4 linked regions of the Nothobranchius furzeri genome follow. The protein of the gene in region 1 purifies or fractionates together with the protein of each later gene. This does not show direct contact. Links are inferred from orthologs where the notes say so. Each region holds a gene or a part of one and is shown in the gene's direction. Other genes may lie near its edges. The genes, in order: rpp14, rpp40, pop4 and pop5.

Evidence for each region.
Region 2: the proteins of rpp14 (region 1) and rpp40 purify together in Homo sapiens (co-immunoprecipitation; 3 studies listed by BioGRID and IntAct, with this or other methods). This does not show direct contact. The link is inferred for Nothobranchius furzeri from reciprocal best matches to the Homo sapiens genes RPP14 and RPP40.
Region 3: the proteins of rpp14 (region 1) and pop4 purify together in Homo sapiens (affinity purification with mass spectrometry; 3 studies listed by BioGRID and IntAct, counting the BioPlex papers as one, with this or other methods). This does not show direct contact. The link is inferred for Nothobranchius furzeri from reciprocal best matches to the Homo sapiens genes RPP14 and POP4.
Region 4: the proteins of rpp14 (region 1) and pop5 purify together in Homo sapiens (co-immunoprecipitation; 3 studies listed by BioGRID and IntAct, with this or other methods). This does not show direct contact. The link is inferred for Nothobranchius furzeri from reciprocal best matches to the Homo sapiens genes RPP14 and POP5.

Annotation. Positions count from the first base shown.
Region 1 is NC_091743.1:78,988,660-78,992,963, reverse strand, and holds the start of rpp14 (ribonuclease P protein subunit p14), read left to right. Parts: upstream 1-1,446; 5' UTR 1,447-1,532; exon of another isoform or gene 1,533-1,571; intron 1,572-3,392; 5' UTR 3,393-3,419; coding exon 3,420-3,511; intron 3,512-3,594; coding exon 3,595-3,679; intron 3,680-3,765; coding exon 3,766-3,842; intron 3,843-3,919; coding exon 3,920-3,998; intron 3,999-4,304. UniProt on the Homo sapiens protein: Component of ribonuclease P, a ribonucleoprotein complex that generates mature tRNA molecules by cleaving their 5'-ends.
Region 2 is NC_091751.1:33,814,082-33,818,216, reverse strand, and holds the start of rpp40 (ribonuclease P protein subunit p40), read left to right. Parts: upstream 1-1,277; 5' UTR 1,278-1,351; coding exon 1,352-1,468; intron 1,469-1,514; exon of another isoform or gene 1,515-1,652; intron 1,653-1,744; coding exon 1,745-1,886; intron 1,887-1,986; coding exon 1,987-2,055; intron 2,056-2,128; coding exon 2,129-2,224; intron 2,225-3,199; coding exon 3,200-3,322; intron 3,323-3,707; coding exon 3,708-3,873; intron 3,874-3,940; coding exon 3,941-4,075; intron 4,076-4,135. Other genes in the region: riok1 (serine/threonine-protein kinase RIO1), read right to left, coding at 1,028-1,083. UniProt on the Homo sapiens protein: Component of ribonuclease P, a ribonucleoprotein complex that generates mature tRNA molecules by cleaving their 5'-ends. Also a component of the MRP ribonuclease complex, which cleaves pre-rRNA sequences.
Region 3 is NC_091749.1:7,870,524-7,874,760, reverse strand, and holds the start of pop4 (ribonuclease P protein subunit p29), read left to right. Parts: upstream 1-1,408; 5' UTR 1,409-1,536; coding exon 1,537-1,543; intron 1,544-1,767; coding exon 1,768-1,826; intron 1,827-2,757; coding exon 2,758-2,987; intron 2,988-3,055; coding exon 3,056-3,133; intron 3,134-4,237. UniProt on the Homo sapiens protein: Component of ribonuclease P, a ribonucleoprotein complex that generates mature tRNA molecules by cleaving their 5'-ends.
Region 4 is NC_091757.1:33,375,367-33,379,365, reverse strand, and holds the start of pop5 (ribonuclease P/MRP protein subunit POP5), read left to right. Parts: upstream 1-1,153; 5' UTR 1,154-1,220; coding exon 1,221-1,240; intron 1,241-1,323; coding exon 1,324-1,466; intron 1,467-3,999. Other genes in the region: unc119b (protein unc-119 homolog B), read right to left, coding at 494-728. UniProt on the Homo sapiens protein: Component of ribonuclease P, a protein complex that generates mature tRNA molecules by cleaving their 5'-ends. Also a component of the MRP ribonuclease complex, which cleaves pre-rRNA sequences.

The DNA of each region.
Region 1 (4,304 bases):
CTTGCCAGGCTAACAGGCTGGTGCTAAAGAAGCCCAATAATAAGATTCTAACACAGACAAGGTGCTTGTGGTTTTTCATAGCCAAACCCTTTTGAACAGTTGAAATTATTGAATTAAAGCTTTGATCAATTATTCTGAGACATCTGAGAAATAAGTCACAACATTAAGTTTAAATCTAACTTTTGTCAGAGATCAAAGTCAGTGATTTTTGTTTTCTCTCCCCTAAATATCTACTGTATGAGATTGGTTGTCATTTTTGCAAAAACCACCATTTTGTTTTTGTTTAATTTTTTTAATTAAGAAGAAACAGAATAATTATCAAAAAAGTTTGGATTTATTTTTCAATGGGATGTTGATATTAGTGGAAAGTTATGTGAAAAAAAAATAAATTGACCTAAAAGTTATTTACTGGTACTTTTAGTTTCATTCTTTTGTGGAAATTCAGACATTGCTACAAATTGGCTTTGATTTCAGGTTTCCAATTATTAAAGGGCAGTTCCATCCAATTTTTCCACTGATTGAGCATCTTTAATCTGCTCACATTTTCAAACTACAACACCTGGACCAGTGGTTCCCAAGCTGTGGTTCGTGATCCACCAATGGGGTCCCCACCAAATTTGTGGGAATTCAGCACATACAAGTGCCTCGTGATTTTTATCTTGAAAGGCACTGTACAAAAGATCAGCTATTCTTCTTCTTCTACAACATGTTTGTACTGAGATTGTAAGGTTAACACACAACCAAGGGATGCTCAAGGACAGAAGACTGGGAACCACTAAACCTGGACCAAATTCTGCTACAGTGTGAGCAGAATCTGTTAAACATATATATTGTGATGTTTCAAACTGTAATTTGATTAGTGAAAACAGTCTTTTTGTTTTCTTTCTTTAATGTGAGAATTATTTATTTAAAATGTAGAAAATGTTGAAATTTATCTTGCCTGACCGGGCACATCTCTGGGTGCTCAGCACCCCTAAACCTCTGATGCGAGAATCGCCTCTGCTGATAGTCATCTTTTTGGACTGTGGGAGGAAGCCAGATCACCTGCGGGGAACCCATAAATGCACAGTGAGTACATGAAAACTCCATGCACAATTCGAACCTGGGACCTTCTTGCTGCAAGGCAACAGTGCTAACCACTGCATCGCTGTATAGCCCAAGAACTGAAATGGATTTAAATATTTTTTAGATATCATGTACAAATACCTAATTTATACTGTTTTATCTTCTTTAATATTTAATTTTTTAATTATTGTTTTGTAGATTGGATGTGCTAATGTGAGTTTACTCATTTGAGTACATCAGTATTGTTTTTTATTAAGTTATGTTTGAAATGATATCAAGAACAGCATTCGTTCTGTTCTATTGACGCAGACGTAAACAGGGAAGCTTTAAGCTTGGTTTATGCTTGAGGAATGCCAGTTCACACTCCAGATCGGTAGAGGGCGATAATGTACTTCACGTTGTAAACCTTTAAAAAAAAAAGTTGTGCTGCGCATGCGCTTTACATGAACCCTCTCTTCACATCCTGGGTGAGTTCAATTCGTTTTTGTTGGTGTTTGGCCTAACAGGTAATTCTACTTGCTTTAGTTCTGTTTTTTTCCGAACAAACGTTGACTTTAATTTGCTGTAAGTTCTTCCAGCGAGGCGATTTGTCCTTTCTGATTAAAACGGGTTAGCTTAAACAGCATGAAACATAATTAGCTTCCGTTAGCGTGTAAAGGTCCGGCATTACTCCTTTGGAATAGTAGGATGTTCTAGGAAGGTCCCGTCATTCTCGCCTCTGATTGGCAGGAAGAGCTCTCTCTCATACGATTGGCTATTTCATGTAACAATAAACCGTGTTCTCTCGTTGCAGGGTGTTCAATCTCTCCAGCCAGATTTTGAGGAGTTTAGTGAAGAAATTGTTAACTTCGTGCTATATTAACCATCATGTCCTGTTTTGCAACAAACCTGTTTGTTTCTTTTATAAAAGAACCTGAAAAACATCAAATGTGTAAATTTTGTTGCATTTAACACACTGTTAGATGACTTTATCTGTTGGCTCTTAAACACTGGGGTTATATATATTACTATATATAGGCCAGGGATATTCATTGTCGGGCCTGGAGGGCTGGTATCCTGCACGTTTCAGTTTTAACTTCAATCAGCAGGTAATTATCAGGCTTCTGCAGGGCCTGATGAGCTGCTGCGCAAGTGAATCAGCCACTGAATCAAGTGTGTTGAATCTAAAAACGTGCTGGATACTAGCCCAGCAGGCCCGGGATCTCCCTCCTTAAGGCTATCTTATGTCTTCACTTTCATAGGTTAGTGTTTGCAAGTTAGAACTAGAACACACATATCATCTGTTTAAATGTGCATTATTTAATAGAAATTAAATTCAAAGCTGATTAAGGTTTAGACCTATTTTTCATACGTATTCATTATTCTAGAATAGAAATAGTCAACACAAAGCTGTGAAAAACAGGGAGGTTTTATTATATTTAATTGCCAGGTTAAGGCACACATGTTTATCCTATTTACTCTGCTTTAAGAAGAAGCTTTAGAGCCAACAGATATAAAGTAATTGCTGGGTTTCTGCGTCACTAAATTAGGGCTGCCACAAACGATTACTTTAGTAGTCAGCTAGTTGCCAGTGACGATTAGTCGACTAATCGTGTCATTCATAAAAGTTTAGCTTATTGCACCAGGATGCTCTAATGCTGGGGTGTCAAACTCAGTTTTGCTCAGGGGCCACATTGAGGAAAATCTAGTCCCAAGTGGGCCAGACCAGTGTTTTTTTTTTTTTTTTTTTTTTGTTTTAATACGATCAACATAAAACAAAGCTGGAGCCTGAGGACAGTGTATCCAAAATAGTTAAAGCACAACATCACCATTAATAATAAAACACCTGAAGTGTATTTGAAAATGTGAAATGCAAAACAAAAAACCCAAAGAGGGCAAGCTCAGTGATTCAAATAACTGATTCACAGATCACATGGCTATATCAGTGTCATACATGTCTTTGACTCCTGATACCTGACATCTTTTAACTTTCACCAGTAGTTTAATTGAAAAATGAAAGCTTATTTTCAGACTTTACATTGTTAAGTCTGAAAATAAGGTTTACGCAATCATCTCGCGGGCCGGATTTAAACTGTGTGCGGGCCTGATCCGGCCCGCGGGCCGCATGTTTGACACCCCTGCTTAATATATCCATCATTAGCTTCTAGATTGCTGATGCTGATGCTTGCAAGGCCTCGTAAGACATCGCCTCGCAAGGCCAGGTGCCTTGACATTGAGAAACACAGAGAGTCTTTACAGCAATCCTCATACTTTGGACATTTGTCATTAACTTTGTTGTTGTTCTGATCATAACAGGTAATTACAGATTTGTGTGTTTTGGTCCACAGTCAGCTGATCTCTGAGGTTCTGTTAGAATGACATCAGTCAGAGAGAAGATTGGATCTTCTGGGTTCCACCGAACGGTGCTGAAGAACGGCTCGCCTTACTGCTATATGAAAGTCTGCCTGTTAGTCTCTGGTTTTTAGTAGTTTTCCTGTCTTTGGTGCATATCTTTGATCTTGTTGGTGACTTGGTGCATTACTACTTAAGGGTTTTACAGGATCAGGAAACCAGACTGAATGCAGTTGAACTGAAGAGTTTAATCATCACTGGTCTGAAGGATCTACATGGAGAGGTGAGCTAAACACATCTATTGTTATCAGAGCTGTGACTAAAGGCTGCATTCAGTTACTGAAATGCTTCTACACCAATGTGCTTCAGGTGGGAGCAGCGCTGCCCTTTGATGTGTTGAAGTTTGATGAAGGGTCTCTCACTGCTGTGCTGCGTGTTTGTAGTGGGTGAGCCCAATGCTGCTGCTTCAAACGTCTGACTAAATACACTTGATGGGGTCTGATTGTTTTGATATTTCTTTCAGAGGTCTGGTGAAGTTGTGGAGCTCCCTAACTCTGCAGGGTTATTACCAGAGCCAGGCCTGTGCCTTCAGAGTCCTGCAGGTCAGCAGATTTAACCTTTAGCTCAGTTATTTCTTAGATTTTAATTTGAATTCACCTGTGTGATGTGACCGAGGGTAAAGCCTGGTTTATACTTCCGTCAGCTCGAGTGTGGAGTCGCACTCAAGCATTGACAGAGGTGTTTCCCCTTCAGACTTCTCCATCACCTGGGGAGCGTTGCAAAGCAATTCCTCTACCTGTACAACAGAGAGCATAGCACCTTTCACCATTACAGTCATGTATCTGGTCCTAGATGGTGTGTTTACATGCTTTGATTTATGTCAGAGACTATTTAACATTGACAAATTT
Region 2 (4,135 bases), on another chromosome or scaffold:
TGTGAAGGTCCTTGAGACGACTGGTCGTGACTTGGCGCTATAGAAATAAACTGAATTGAATGTTGGAAGTCCTAGTAAGCTCTGTTTATCCATGTATTTTATTCAAGGAGTGGAAGGAGTTTGGTGAAACCATGGTCCTGAGTCAGAAAAGGGTAGAATGCCTTGTCCAGGTCAGGGATGAGGTCCTGCCCCAAGTGGAAGAGTTTAAGTATCTCGGGGTCTTGTTCACGAGTGAAGGAAAGATGGAGCGTGAGATCGATAGATGGATTGGTGATGCAGGCTTTGTACTGGTCTGCCATTGTTAAGACAGAGCTGAGTCAGAAGGCAAAGCTCTTAATTTATTGATCTATCTACATTCCAACCCTCATCTACAGTCACGGGCTTTGGCAGTGACCAAAAAAATGAGATCGCAGATACAAGCGGACTAAATGCATTTTCTCTGTGAGGTGGCTGGACACCTCCTTAGAGATAGGGTGAGAAATGTGGAGGGGCTCGAAGTAGATCCTCTGCTTCTCCACATATGGTTAGGATGCCTGCTGGACCTGGTGAGGTTTTCCGGGCACACCAACCAGGAGGAGACCTAATGGAAGACCCAGGATACGCTAGAGGGACTATGTCTCTCAGCTGGCCAGGGAACACCTTGGGAATCCCCCGGAGGAGCTGGCCCAGGTGGTTGGGGAGAGGGAAGCCTGGGCCTGGCTGCTGATCAGCAGATGGATGTTCTCTGGTGTTTTTGTCTACAGCTGACTGAACTTCATGATGACGAGAAACAATAAGAGCCAATAGTGTTTAAAACAAAGCTGTTCACCTGTAGAACTCCTACAAATGCATCACTTCCGGTAGTCACCCACAGAACAAAACTAATCTTTATTTACGCAGGTTAAACACGTGGTTAGCTAGAAACGGCGCGCGTTCCCGACGCAGGGTACACGTTCTACCTGGGATACCGACATCAGTACAACACCGGAGCAGGACCGTTCTCATTAGGTCACGTTTCTGATCCAATACGTCACAAATAACAACATACCGGTTGTCCTCCTCCGCGTCATCAAACTGCCCTGGTACGGCAGCCACCTCCACCATGATGTCACGTGAATAAACAGAAACCAGGACCAAGTTCTGCTCGGGTTACCCTAGGTTCGGACCGGAGCGCGCTTTCACCACCGCGTGTTTTCTTCACTTCCGGCGTAGACCACGTGACTACGGGGACCCACGAGGCTCTGAAAACAGCACGACATCCTCCTGCTCAGATCTACAGAACCTGTAGAACATCCAGAACTTCCGCGGTTCCGTTTGGTTTCATGCTAACGGGTTCTCGTCTGGATCCGGTCTCGACGAGGGTACCGTGAATATGTGTTCGGATCTGGACCGGACTCCTCGGACTCTGCTGGTCTGTGATCGGTCCAGTTTCCTGGACGAGAAGAACCGGGTCAGCCCTCAGGTGGAGAAGCTGCACTTCAACCACAAGGTGAGAGCTGCGCGTGCACGCGCTGTGACGAGCCAGTGTTTTGCCCATGCCGTGCATGCCCTGTCGCGGGAGCGCGCATCGCTGCACCGACATCTGAGTCACGAGGCAACTGAAGTATAAACTTTTCTCATCCGGGTACTTGCTGAATAGATAGGTGAAAATAATAACAGAACCCTGCTGCCAGGTACGGGTCCAGGTGATGTCCAGTTTCTGCTGCTTCTACCTGCAGCATCACAAAGTCGTGCTACCTTCTGTTGACTGGGTTCATCTGTGCAGGTATCTGTACTGCTGCCTGGGTGTAGCGTCACCCCCTCCAACCTGGACTTGGTGATGAACACCTTCAGCAGTTTCTACCTGATCAAGAAGCTACCAGTACACGAGCTGCTGGACCCAGGCCTGCAGGGTGCCATAAACCAAGGTAACACAACACCTGTATATACCATTTAGTTATCAGTACACACCTGTGTGTACTTGTTATTTAGTACTTACCTGTACACACTTGTCTGAACCTTCTTCAGGTGTTGTGTATGGTCTGTCCTTTGGGACTCGCATCGATGAAGATACCTGTGTTGCTTTGATGCCAAAAGGTAAAACAGGCGACAGCTTTGACTTCTTCAGTGCAACATGAAAAAAACTGAGTGGTTCCTCTGGTCCCTGCAGGACGTCTGGTTCTGTCTCTGGACAAAGACTCGTACGAACTTCTGGGGGTTGAGGGGAAACCGTCCAGATTCAACCACAGAACCTGCAGCAGATTTGGTCAGGTTTACTTTTGTTTTCTAAAGGTCACCAAGTCCAGATCGATCCTGCAGACCTTCATCACTCTGGTCTGGTCTCTGGTGGGTCTGCAGACCTTCATCGCTCTGGTCTGGTCTCTGGTGGGTCTGCAGACCTTCGTCACTCTGGTCTCTGGTGGGTCTGCAGACCTTCATCACTCTGGTGGGTCTGCAGACCTTCGTCACTCTGGTCTGGTCTCTGGTGGGTCTGCAGACCTTCATCAGTCTGATCTCTGGTGGGTCTGCAGACCTTCATCAGTCTGATCTCTGGTGGGTCTGCAGACCTTCATCAGTCTGATCTCTGGTGGGTCTGTAGAACTTCATCACTCTGGTCTGGTCTCTGGTGGATCTGCAGACCTTCATCAGTCTGATCTCTGGTGGGTCTGTAGAACTTCATCACTCTGGTCTGGTCTCTGGTGGATCTGCAGACCTTCATCAGTTTGATCTCTGGTGGGTCTGCAGACCTTCATCACTCTGGTCAGGTCTCTGGTAGGTCTGCAGACCTTCATCACTCTGGTCAAACATGTCACCATATCACCAGCTGTGATGACACGATTTTCGTCTCCAGATCCAAAGTTTGTTTAAAGTTTCCACATTTTCTGTCAAGCGTTTCTGTATAAACCGCGCGGTTTGCGTAGAAAGTCCCTTACACCGTTTTCTGACCCGTTTTGTGCAGAAGCAGCTTTCTAAAGGAAGTCCCAGGACTATAGGTGTTGGGTCTCCAGGTACCAGGTGTGAAGGGACCCGTGCGGTAGCCTAAAAAAGCCAGTTGACTAAACAGCAGCAGAGCCAGGACACTGGGTGGAGTTTTAGGGTGAATTTATCCTCACTAGAAGGAACCTGCAGGAAAGAATGTCCAGATGTTCCTGACTCAGGTCCGGGTTGTTCAGTCCTGACCTGTTTGCTGAGCTCAGCCTGAACAGAACCAGAAACCAACCGAGTGTGATGTCTCCTGCAGTGGTCTCTGTGGACCTGACGGACAGCAGCATGGCACCTGGTGGACGGGGCCACACCCGGCTCCTTACAGGTCTTCGGTCACACCTTCAGCTGCAGACAGACTTCCTACTGTCCCATCATCCAGGTGACACACCATTGTTAAGGATGGTTACATGTGATCTTCTCCTTACAGGTGAAACTCATAAAAACTAGAACAAGGGGTAAAGGTCACTGTTGTCACTAATCCACCCTGAAAGGTGAGACTAATCAATGAGACAGACTCATCCTGTCAATCCAGATGTTTCCGCCTTTATCTGTTCTACCTGTGATGATTACGGCTTCCAGATGATGACGACCCCACATTTAACATCTCAGAATATCATGTAAAGGTTCAATGTTCTCCAATCAGCTGATGAATCCACAACACAGGCAGAGGCTTCCTGAGCCTTTAGATGGTCTCGCAGTCTAAACTGGACTTATGGACCAGATTCTCTTTTACTGTATCACCTGTACTCCATTCTGCCTCTCAGAGGGTGGGGCCTCTCTACAGCCACTCCTGTCTCGTTATGATTGGTCCAAACACGAACCTGAGGTCAGCTGCCGCCACCTGACTGACCTGACCTGTCCCGACTTTCGGTCATGTGACTGTCACAGTCTTCTGGAGTGGATTGGAGCTGTGGAGGCCGACATCAGCTGGTGAGTGGTCCAGTCAGGGTCACGTGTCCAAGTGTTGTGACTACAAGTCGTTCTTCTGTGGTTTCAGTGAGAGCTCATCCAGCAGCTTCCTGTCATCGTTCACCTGTCCAGAGCCCAATGACGTGCTCAGTCATGCTCTGAGCGTGTCCATCTGTGGCCTGCTGTTGCCACACGATGTGCAGCGACTGATCCAGGAGCTCAGGTTAGCTCTCTCACACAAGCACACCTTTACCTGAACAGCTGACGACAAAATAACTCACCT
Region 3 (4,237 bases), on another chromosome or scaffold:
GAGCGGGTATTTAATAGAGTCATGCTGAGTGAGGTGGAGGAATCAGAAACTACAGAAACAGCTGGAGTTAGAGGACATAAATTAGCAGGGTTAGATCCACAGTGTTTATAAAAACCACTTATGGAGGGAACAGGAGGAGAAACCACTGAGGAATGAGGAAAAACCGACCTTAAAAAAACTTGGGACGGAGAAACTGGCGGGAATGCGTAAGTGGCGTTCAAGTCGCCAAACAAAGGACAAGAAGCTAGAAGATCCCGCCGATGTTTACTAGATAAACCACGCTTTAAGAGAAGTCTTATTCTCACCTGGATTCCTGCTCTTTTACCTCTTTTGCTCCGACGTTTTCCCGGGACCGGACAAACATCGCTGGAAACGCCATGATTGGAATTGTCGTTTGGCTCCGGGCCAGTGCACCACTCAGATAAACAAACAGGGAGGTACGTCCTCGGTGCATCTTGGGCGATCGTGAACGAACGGAAGGACAAAAGAATCAGGCGATCATAGGAGATGGTAGCAGGGACACTACTGAAGAGGATCGCAGACAGGAGCAAGGTGGAAAGGAGGAGGTTAGTGGAGAAAAGTTTGAAAAAGTGGCCGGTGACTGCGGCTAAGCCAAGCACAGGCGCCACCTTGTTCTGGCTGAATTCTACCTAAAATGTAATTTAAAAAACAAATATACAAACGAAAAATATCTATAAAAAGAACCGCTTTAAGCTTTTTAGTTTTCTACCACTAGTTTTTAAACAAACTTACGTTTAAAACCTGTTGAAAGTCCACAGCCGGCACGTAAAGCATGCTGGGATAGCCTTGTTCTATTATAGAGAAATCCAGGAAAACCAAACGATGTTGAAGGATTAACCAGTGGTGTTGCAGGTCACACCCACTGGCTTGACTGACGGACTGAGACATTCTGCTGTAAAGTCTCATTATGAAGTAAATCAGCCATGGGGAAAAAAAACACTATTATGAAATAAAAGCTGTCTTTGCTAAAAAGGCGTTATGTATTAAAAACTGAATGAATTAAATTAAAAAAATGGCTCAATATTAATTTGGATTATTATGAAGAAATGACTTTTTTAAAAACTTTATATTAATAAAGACATTTAAAAGAAGAATGAAAAATATTTCATAATATTGAGCTTAGATTTTACATAACATCCTGTTATTTCATCATTTCATTGACAGATTACATAATTATCTAATATTTCTTCATGTAGCTATTTATTTCATAATGTCTTATTTATTTATTTATTTATTTATTTATTTATTTATTTATTTATTTATTTATTTATTGAATTTTGAATGCTTTTGAGTTCCATAAATTATATCGTTTAGAAGCAACAATTTATTCTGGGGTTCAGTTACTCTTTAAGCTGTAGTACTAAACCGGCCCAGCAGGGGTCAGCAGCGCAGCGCCTGGTGTCTTTCACCTCTAGAGAAGAAGAGAGGCTAACAGCGCTGTAAGCTAGCTTCTGGTTTTCGGTTGTTTTTTTTAAGACAGAAGGAAAGTTTCTTCTAACCCTGAAACCTGCAGCCATGGACGGTGAGTGTAGTCTAAAGGGTTCGATGGGGAAATGTTCCCCGCTGGTTGAGTGTGACCTCGTTTTGTGACGTAAAGCTGCATCTAGACAGAAAAAGTAGCTTTAGCTGGTTTCTCACAAACTTATCCAGTGACATTTCAGGCTAAAGACAACCTGTGTGTGTGTGTGTGTGTGTGTGTGTGTGTGTGTGTGCGTGTGCGTGTGCGTGTGCGTGTGCGTGTGTTAGGTGAAGCCCTGCTATGTACCACGGTTCCTAGTGAACTGAAGAAGGCTCTGGATGTGGAGGTAACAGTAATCTGTAATCCACACAGGGGTTGCAGGCTCATGAGAACCCATCCTCATTGGTCTCGGACCGGATGTTAACAGCTGTGGATTTGGACAGTCTAGCCTTAAATAAAAGTCTTGCCCCTACTTCAGCAGATGTCCTCCTGTCAATTAGCAACTGCTACAGAAGAAGCTGCAGAAGTGGAGCTCACGCATGTTTTAAAGTTTTTCCTTGTTTTGTTGCAGTTTTACAGGTGTACCGCCGGTGTTCCGAGAAATTCGTTTCCCCTAAAATATGTTTCCCTAATAACTTAGGCAAATAAAAAACAAATGTTTCCAAATTCACAGGACTTGATGTCCGCTATGAGGACCAGACAACCTCAAATAAAAGATGGTTAAACTTTGTGAGATTACATCCTTTTACGTAACTTTCAATAATGAATAAAAGCTGGAGAAGAGGGAACGGCAATGATTTTACTGTACATTTTATTGTTTTATGGGGAAATATAAAAAATACAAGCATGACATTATTACATTACATAATTTTCCTGTAAAAGTCGATCACAAATGGTGTGAAGAGCCTGAAGGATGACCTCCCAACACAGGAAAGCACATTTCAGGGGAACAACATTTCTCACAACACAGGTGAACAGAATATTTCAGGGGAACGGAGTATCTCACAGCACCTGTCCCACAGTGCATCTCTGGATTTATGGAGTTGAAGAGACTACACCTTACCCGCCCTCTAAATCAGGGAAAAGAACAACAGATTTCAAGATCGCATTCTTTAAATTTGGACAATCTTCCTCCGGGTGCTGTGATGTCACTGGTCTGAAAATCTGACCTCATGAGCATGCAACCCCTGAATCTGAACACAGCCATCGTCTCATTGTCCTGCCTGCTGATTGGTTTGTGGTGTTTTGTGGAATATGACACCATTCTGTCCCTTTAGCCTCCTAGCAGCTCAAAAGCAGCAGCGTTCACTGAAGCCTTCCTGAAGAACAGCATTAAGACACCTGCACGCCTGGACCTCGACACCTTGCTAGCTCACAAGGCTGTGATCCTGGGCTACACGCGACCTAAGAAGGACACAACTAAAAGGAAGAGCAAGAAAGCCAAAGGACTGGGTGCTCGACAAAAGAGGGTGATGAAAATCTTCCAGATCAAAGCTGAACACCAGAGGTTTGTGGGGGGTGGGGTTTGATCAGGACTCTCCCTGGGATCCATGTCTGAGTTCTGTGTGTTTGCAGGTATGAGCTCTTCCTGCCCCTGCACCAGCTCTGGAGACACTACATATTGGACCTGTGTGGAGGACTGAAGCCATCAGGGTAAGATGGTGGCATGTGGCCCTGTGCACACCTGGCTGGGGCTAACATCTGTCCTGATGAAGCTGAGACTCCTGGGTGGTGAATTAGTGAAGTGTCACAACATTGTTCTGGACCAGAAGTTTAAATGGTCTCTGCAGTGGGATCTTTGTTGAAGCTGAGCAGACCTGCTTGGTTCGTCTTGTAAAACAGCTTTAGTCAAACAAAGATGACCTTTTGTGACATCAGTGTTTAGGTTTCCCACATTGCATCACAGGAGTGTGTGGCATGAAACAACGTATGCTACCTATAAATCAATTGTTTTATATGTTTGGAGGAGGATTTAGTGGAGCAAATGGATCTCATTTAGGGCTGGGCGATATGGCCTAAAATCAATATCACGATGGGTGCTTACAGGAAAATGTGAGAAAACAAAACAAATCACATTTCTCTTTATGGCCTATATAGTTGTCATCATCAACGTAACATGATTTACAGAACACATACGACCAACTAGAATTTCATGTTCTACCACTGGATGTTTGGATCAGAATGGGAACCAATCAGATCTTAGATCAGGTGAGAGCCAGGCATTTCCCGTCATGCCTTAGGTTTTGCAGCTAGTGGAGAGCAACTGCAGCACCTAGCTCCGATATATTGAGGATTTCACCTGGATAACGATAAATGGATGATAACTGCAGGTATGTACAGAGACAAAAGTTGTCCATTAGATGGGGCTTTCACGTGGATTACGTTGGGTCACGTTTTTACGTGACTTAAGGTGGTACAGCTTCTTAAAGCATGAACACTGATTAACGACCGTTATAATAATGAACAAGGACACTGATTAACGACCGTTATAATAATGCACAAGGACACTGATTAACGACCATTATAATAATGAACAAGGACACTGATTAACGACCGTTATGATAATGCACAAGGACAATGATTAACGACCGTCATAATAATGAACAAGGACGCTGATTAACGACCGTTCTAATAATGAACAAGGACACTGAATAACGACCGTCATAATAATGAACAAGGACACTGAATAACGACCGTCATAATAATGATCAAGGACACTGATTAACGACCGTTATAATAATAAACAACGACACTGAT
Region 4 (3,999 bases), on another chromosome or scaffold:
TCTAAGATTTACAATGAAAAACATGTAATTTTTTTTTACCCCATATATGTGATGTCATAACACACTATGGTGTCTTTGGACTAAATTTAGAAAACATTTAATTATGCATCGTGTGTGTGTGTGTGTGTGTGTGTGTGTGTGTGTGTGTGTGTGTGTGTGTGTGTGTGTGTGTGTGTGTGTGTGTGTGTGTGAGAGAGAAAGAGAGAGAGATGTTACTAATCGTTCTAAAGCAAAGACTAACGGATTCAAGTCTCATGATAGCTTATTTGCTTGTTGAGTATAAAATAAAATTCTGTCCGGGCTCAAAACTCTTAATTAATTGTTTTTCTTTATAGCATAAACTAGAGTAGCTTAGTTAAATTTTGATATGAATTTACAGCGGACTTGTAAATACTTGAGTTTCGTTCACTTAGCCACAGTTAGCTTGTTTGTAGCTCACGTAACGCTGTGGCTTTATCATCTCCGGTGAACACTTAGTCAGCAGACAGGATACCTTTTGTGACGTCCCGCAAACCCAGAACATGCTCCGGGGAAATATCTCTTCCTAGAGTCCGGAGCTGGTCCTCCGTGACCACAGGCCACTTCTCTGTATGACTGCGCCTCGACTTCAGCTTCCTCAGCATTCCTGCGCCGGTCTTTTTGTCCCTATGGTTCGTCTCTAGGCCACTGTCTGCATCCGTCTGCCCTTTGCCGACTGCCGCTGACTGTTTGTTCCGAGAACCGTTCATACTTCAAACAGTAAAAATAAACACACACTTCAGGTTTTATTATGAACACCAAATTAACAAACTGTGGATGAGATTTCAAGATGGCGTCAAAGTGTATGAAAGATGGGAACTTGAGCTTGTGATTGGATGAGAACGATTGGGGTTGTCATGGTTACTGAAGGGTGCGCTTAGTTTAAAGTTCGAGGCTTTCCGTTTGAAATTTAACCAAGAAGTTTGTGTTGATTTTAAATTTAAAGCCTGCTAATACATCTGATTGAATCACGTTTTATGCTATCCTATTTTTTAGTGAAGTAGAGTCAACTGTCAAGGTTTCATCATAGTGTGAAGATAAAAACAGCTGTGATTGTGAATCGCGAACTACTCATTCGGGCTACCCCGTGTTTAAACCGAATGCACCTTGCAATATGTTAATGTCCACTGGGTGGCGCCAACGCAATTGAGCTCGATCTAAAAATCCGTAGAAGAGGTTTGTTGACGGAATGAGTGGCAGCAATGGTGCGCCTCAAGTCAAGGTAAAACGTGTTTTTTGTGAGTCTCTTACTTATTCTCTTACTGTGGCCATCGTTGAGTTAGCGCATATTCTTTCTTTCGCTAGGTATTTGCTGTGCGAGGTTAATGTGTCGGACATGAACGACCTGTTTCTGCTGAACGACCAAGCAGTAGCAGCGGCTGTGAAGGCAGCGGTGGCCCGCATACACGGGGACTACGGAGCAGCTCTGTGCAGCATCCGGTTCCAAGGTAGTTTGTCGTAAACCAATTTTCTAGCGTAAAACACGCACATAAAAATGAGTTAAAACATTTGATTATCTGTAACAGTTTGCCACGAACATATTACTATTATAGAAAATAAGACATGTTTCATTAAAAAAGTACCCGAACCTGCACCACGGTAAAGTTAGCTTGATGTTGGACGTTGGATATTCGACAGACATTGGTTTCCACGGTCAAGCCGTGCGCTGTGCCACAAACGGCGGTGAGCTGAGTTCCAAAGACTCGCTAATGGGAACGGTGGTTCGCTTAGGGACCATCAACAAAATTGTAGTCTTTTGTGAACGAGTACACAAAAAAAAAAAAAAATCAAAAGCTTCCAGAATAATTGCCTAAATGACTCAAAATTACTTCTGAGTTGTGTTACTAAACTACATTTACAAGACACAACCGTTTTTATAACATGTCACAAAATCTGATCTTTTTTTTTATTAAAATGTTTATCCTAGTGAAATAAATCACTTTAGTTTTTAATAAAAATCCTAATAAAAATGATCAGATCTTGCAAAATTTGATTAAAAACTGCTGCGTCTCATTGATCTAGCTTAGTAACACCAGTGAGAAAAGGTTTTGGGTATTTAGGCTAATTTACCTAGGAGCTTAATGGGAAAAAAAATCCCTTTTTTTTTTTATAAAAATCCAAATTAAAATGATCAAATTGTATGATAGGTGTTAAAAACTGCTGTGTCTTATTGGTCTAGCTTAGTAACATAATTGACAAATGGTTTAGGGTATTTTGACAAATTAACCTAGGAGCTATTGAAAAAAACACTTAATTTTTGATAAAAATTGTAATAAAACAGATCAGATTGTTTGAAAGGTGTTAAAAGTTGCTGTGTCTCATTGGTCTGGCTTAGCAACACCATTGAAGAATGGTTTAAAATCAATTCACCTAAGAGCTATTGAAATAAATCACTGTATTTGTGATGAAAATCTTAATAAAAGAGATAAAATCTTGTGAAATATGATTAAAAACTGCTGTGTCTCATTGGTCTTGCATAGTAAAATCACTGAGAAATGATTTTGAGTATTAAAATCAATTAACCTAGGAGCTAGTAGAAGAAATCACTGATTTTTTTTATAAAAGTCCTAATAAAAAAGATCACATCTTGAAAAATGTGAAAACAAACGGCTGTGTCTTATTGGTCTGGCTAAGTAACACCATTGAGAAATGGTTTTAGGTATTCAGACTGATTTACCTAGGAGCTATTGAAAAATATCTTATTTTGGATAAAAATTATAATAAAAAAAGATCAGATTGTGTGAATTGTGTTAAAACTGTTGTGTCTTGTAATTGTAGTTTAGTAACACAACTCAGAAGTAATTTTGAGTCATTTAGACAATTATTCTGGAAGCTTTTGATTCTTTTTTTACTCGTTTACAAAGGACTACAAGTTTGTTGATAGTCCCCAAGCGAACCACCGTTCCCATTGGCGAGTCGTCGGAACTCGGCTAACTGCCGTCTGTGGCGGAGCGCATGGCATGAAGATTTATCGCTGACTGTGGGAACCAATGTCTGTTGAATATCCAACGTCCACTCCAACTTCAAGCTAACTTCACCGCGGTCGAACACTGCATGAAAATAATATTTATTTAGTTGTCCTGTTATTAGGTGACACTAATGATCGTCACTCCTAGATAAATAATTTTCAGTCCTTTTCTGATCTGGTGGTGTTTTAACCCCTTTATTATGTATCTTCATCAATGAGGCTGAAAATCATCTGAACAGAGAAATAAAAACTTACCACCAGCTAAGCAGGCTGGTTTAATGTGCAGACAATTGAGTAAAAATCAGTTTTCAGCCTACTTTTAAATGTCTTGACCATAGGTGCCCGACAGTGGCAGAGTGTTCCAGAGTCTCAGACCCACAACTCCAAACTCCATTTTCTATTTGTTGGTGGAGTAACCAACAGATGTAGCGTAGAGGAACGGAGAGCGCCAGAAGGTTCATACACCTGTAACAGTTCAGACTAAAATGAGCCGCCCCCCCCCCCCCCCCCCAATGCAGTTCCTTAAAAACAAAAATAAGAATTTTAAAATCAATTCAATATTTGACCATAATCCAGTGCAACATAAACAAAACTGGAGTTAAATGCCAGTATTGAACTATAACTATATTATTATTGTATAATGTTTACACTAGGGATGTCCTGATACAACTTTTTCACTTCTGATACGATACCAATATTGCAGCCTTCAGTATTATCCAATACCGATATTTATCCGATATGATATCAGCACAAATCATACATACCTTTACATATTTTGTAGTGTGGAATGGATGAAGGCTTGATCAAGTGATATTACTCATTTGGAGAACAAGAGCCAATAACAGAAAAAATGAAAATTATTTTTTAACCATTGGTTGCAAAAATGTGAACCTTAACGGACTGCTTATATCGGAGATTTTTGATGCATTCCGATATAACCCGATTCCTTGTTTTTGGGCCAATTTCAAATTACTTCCAATATCGAAATCAGAACGGGACATTCCTAGTTTACA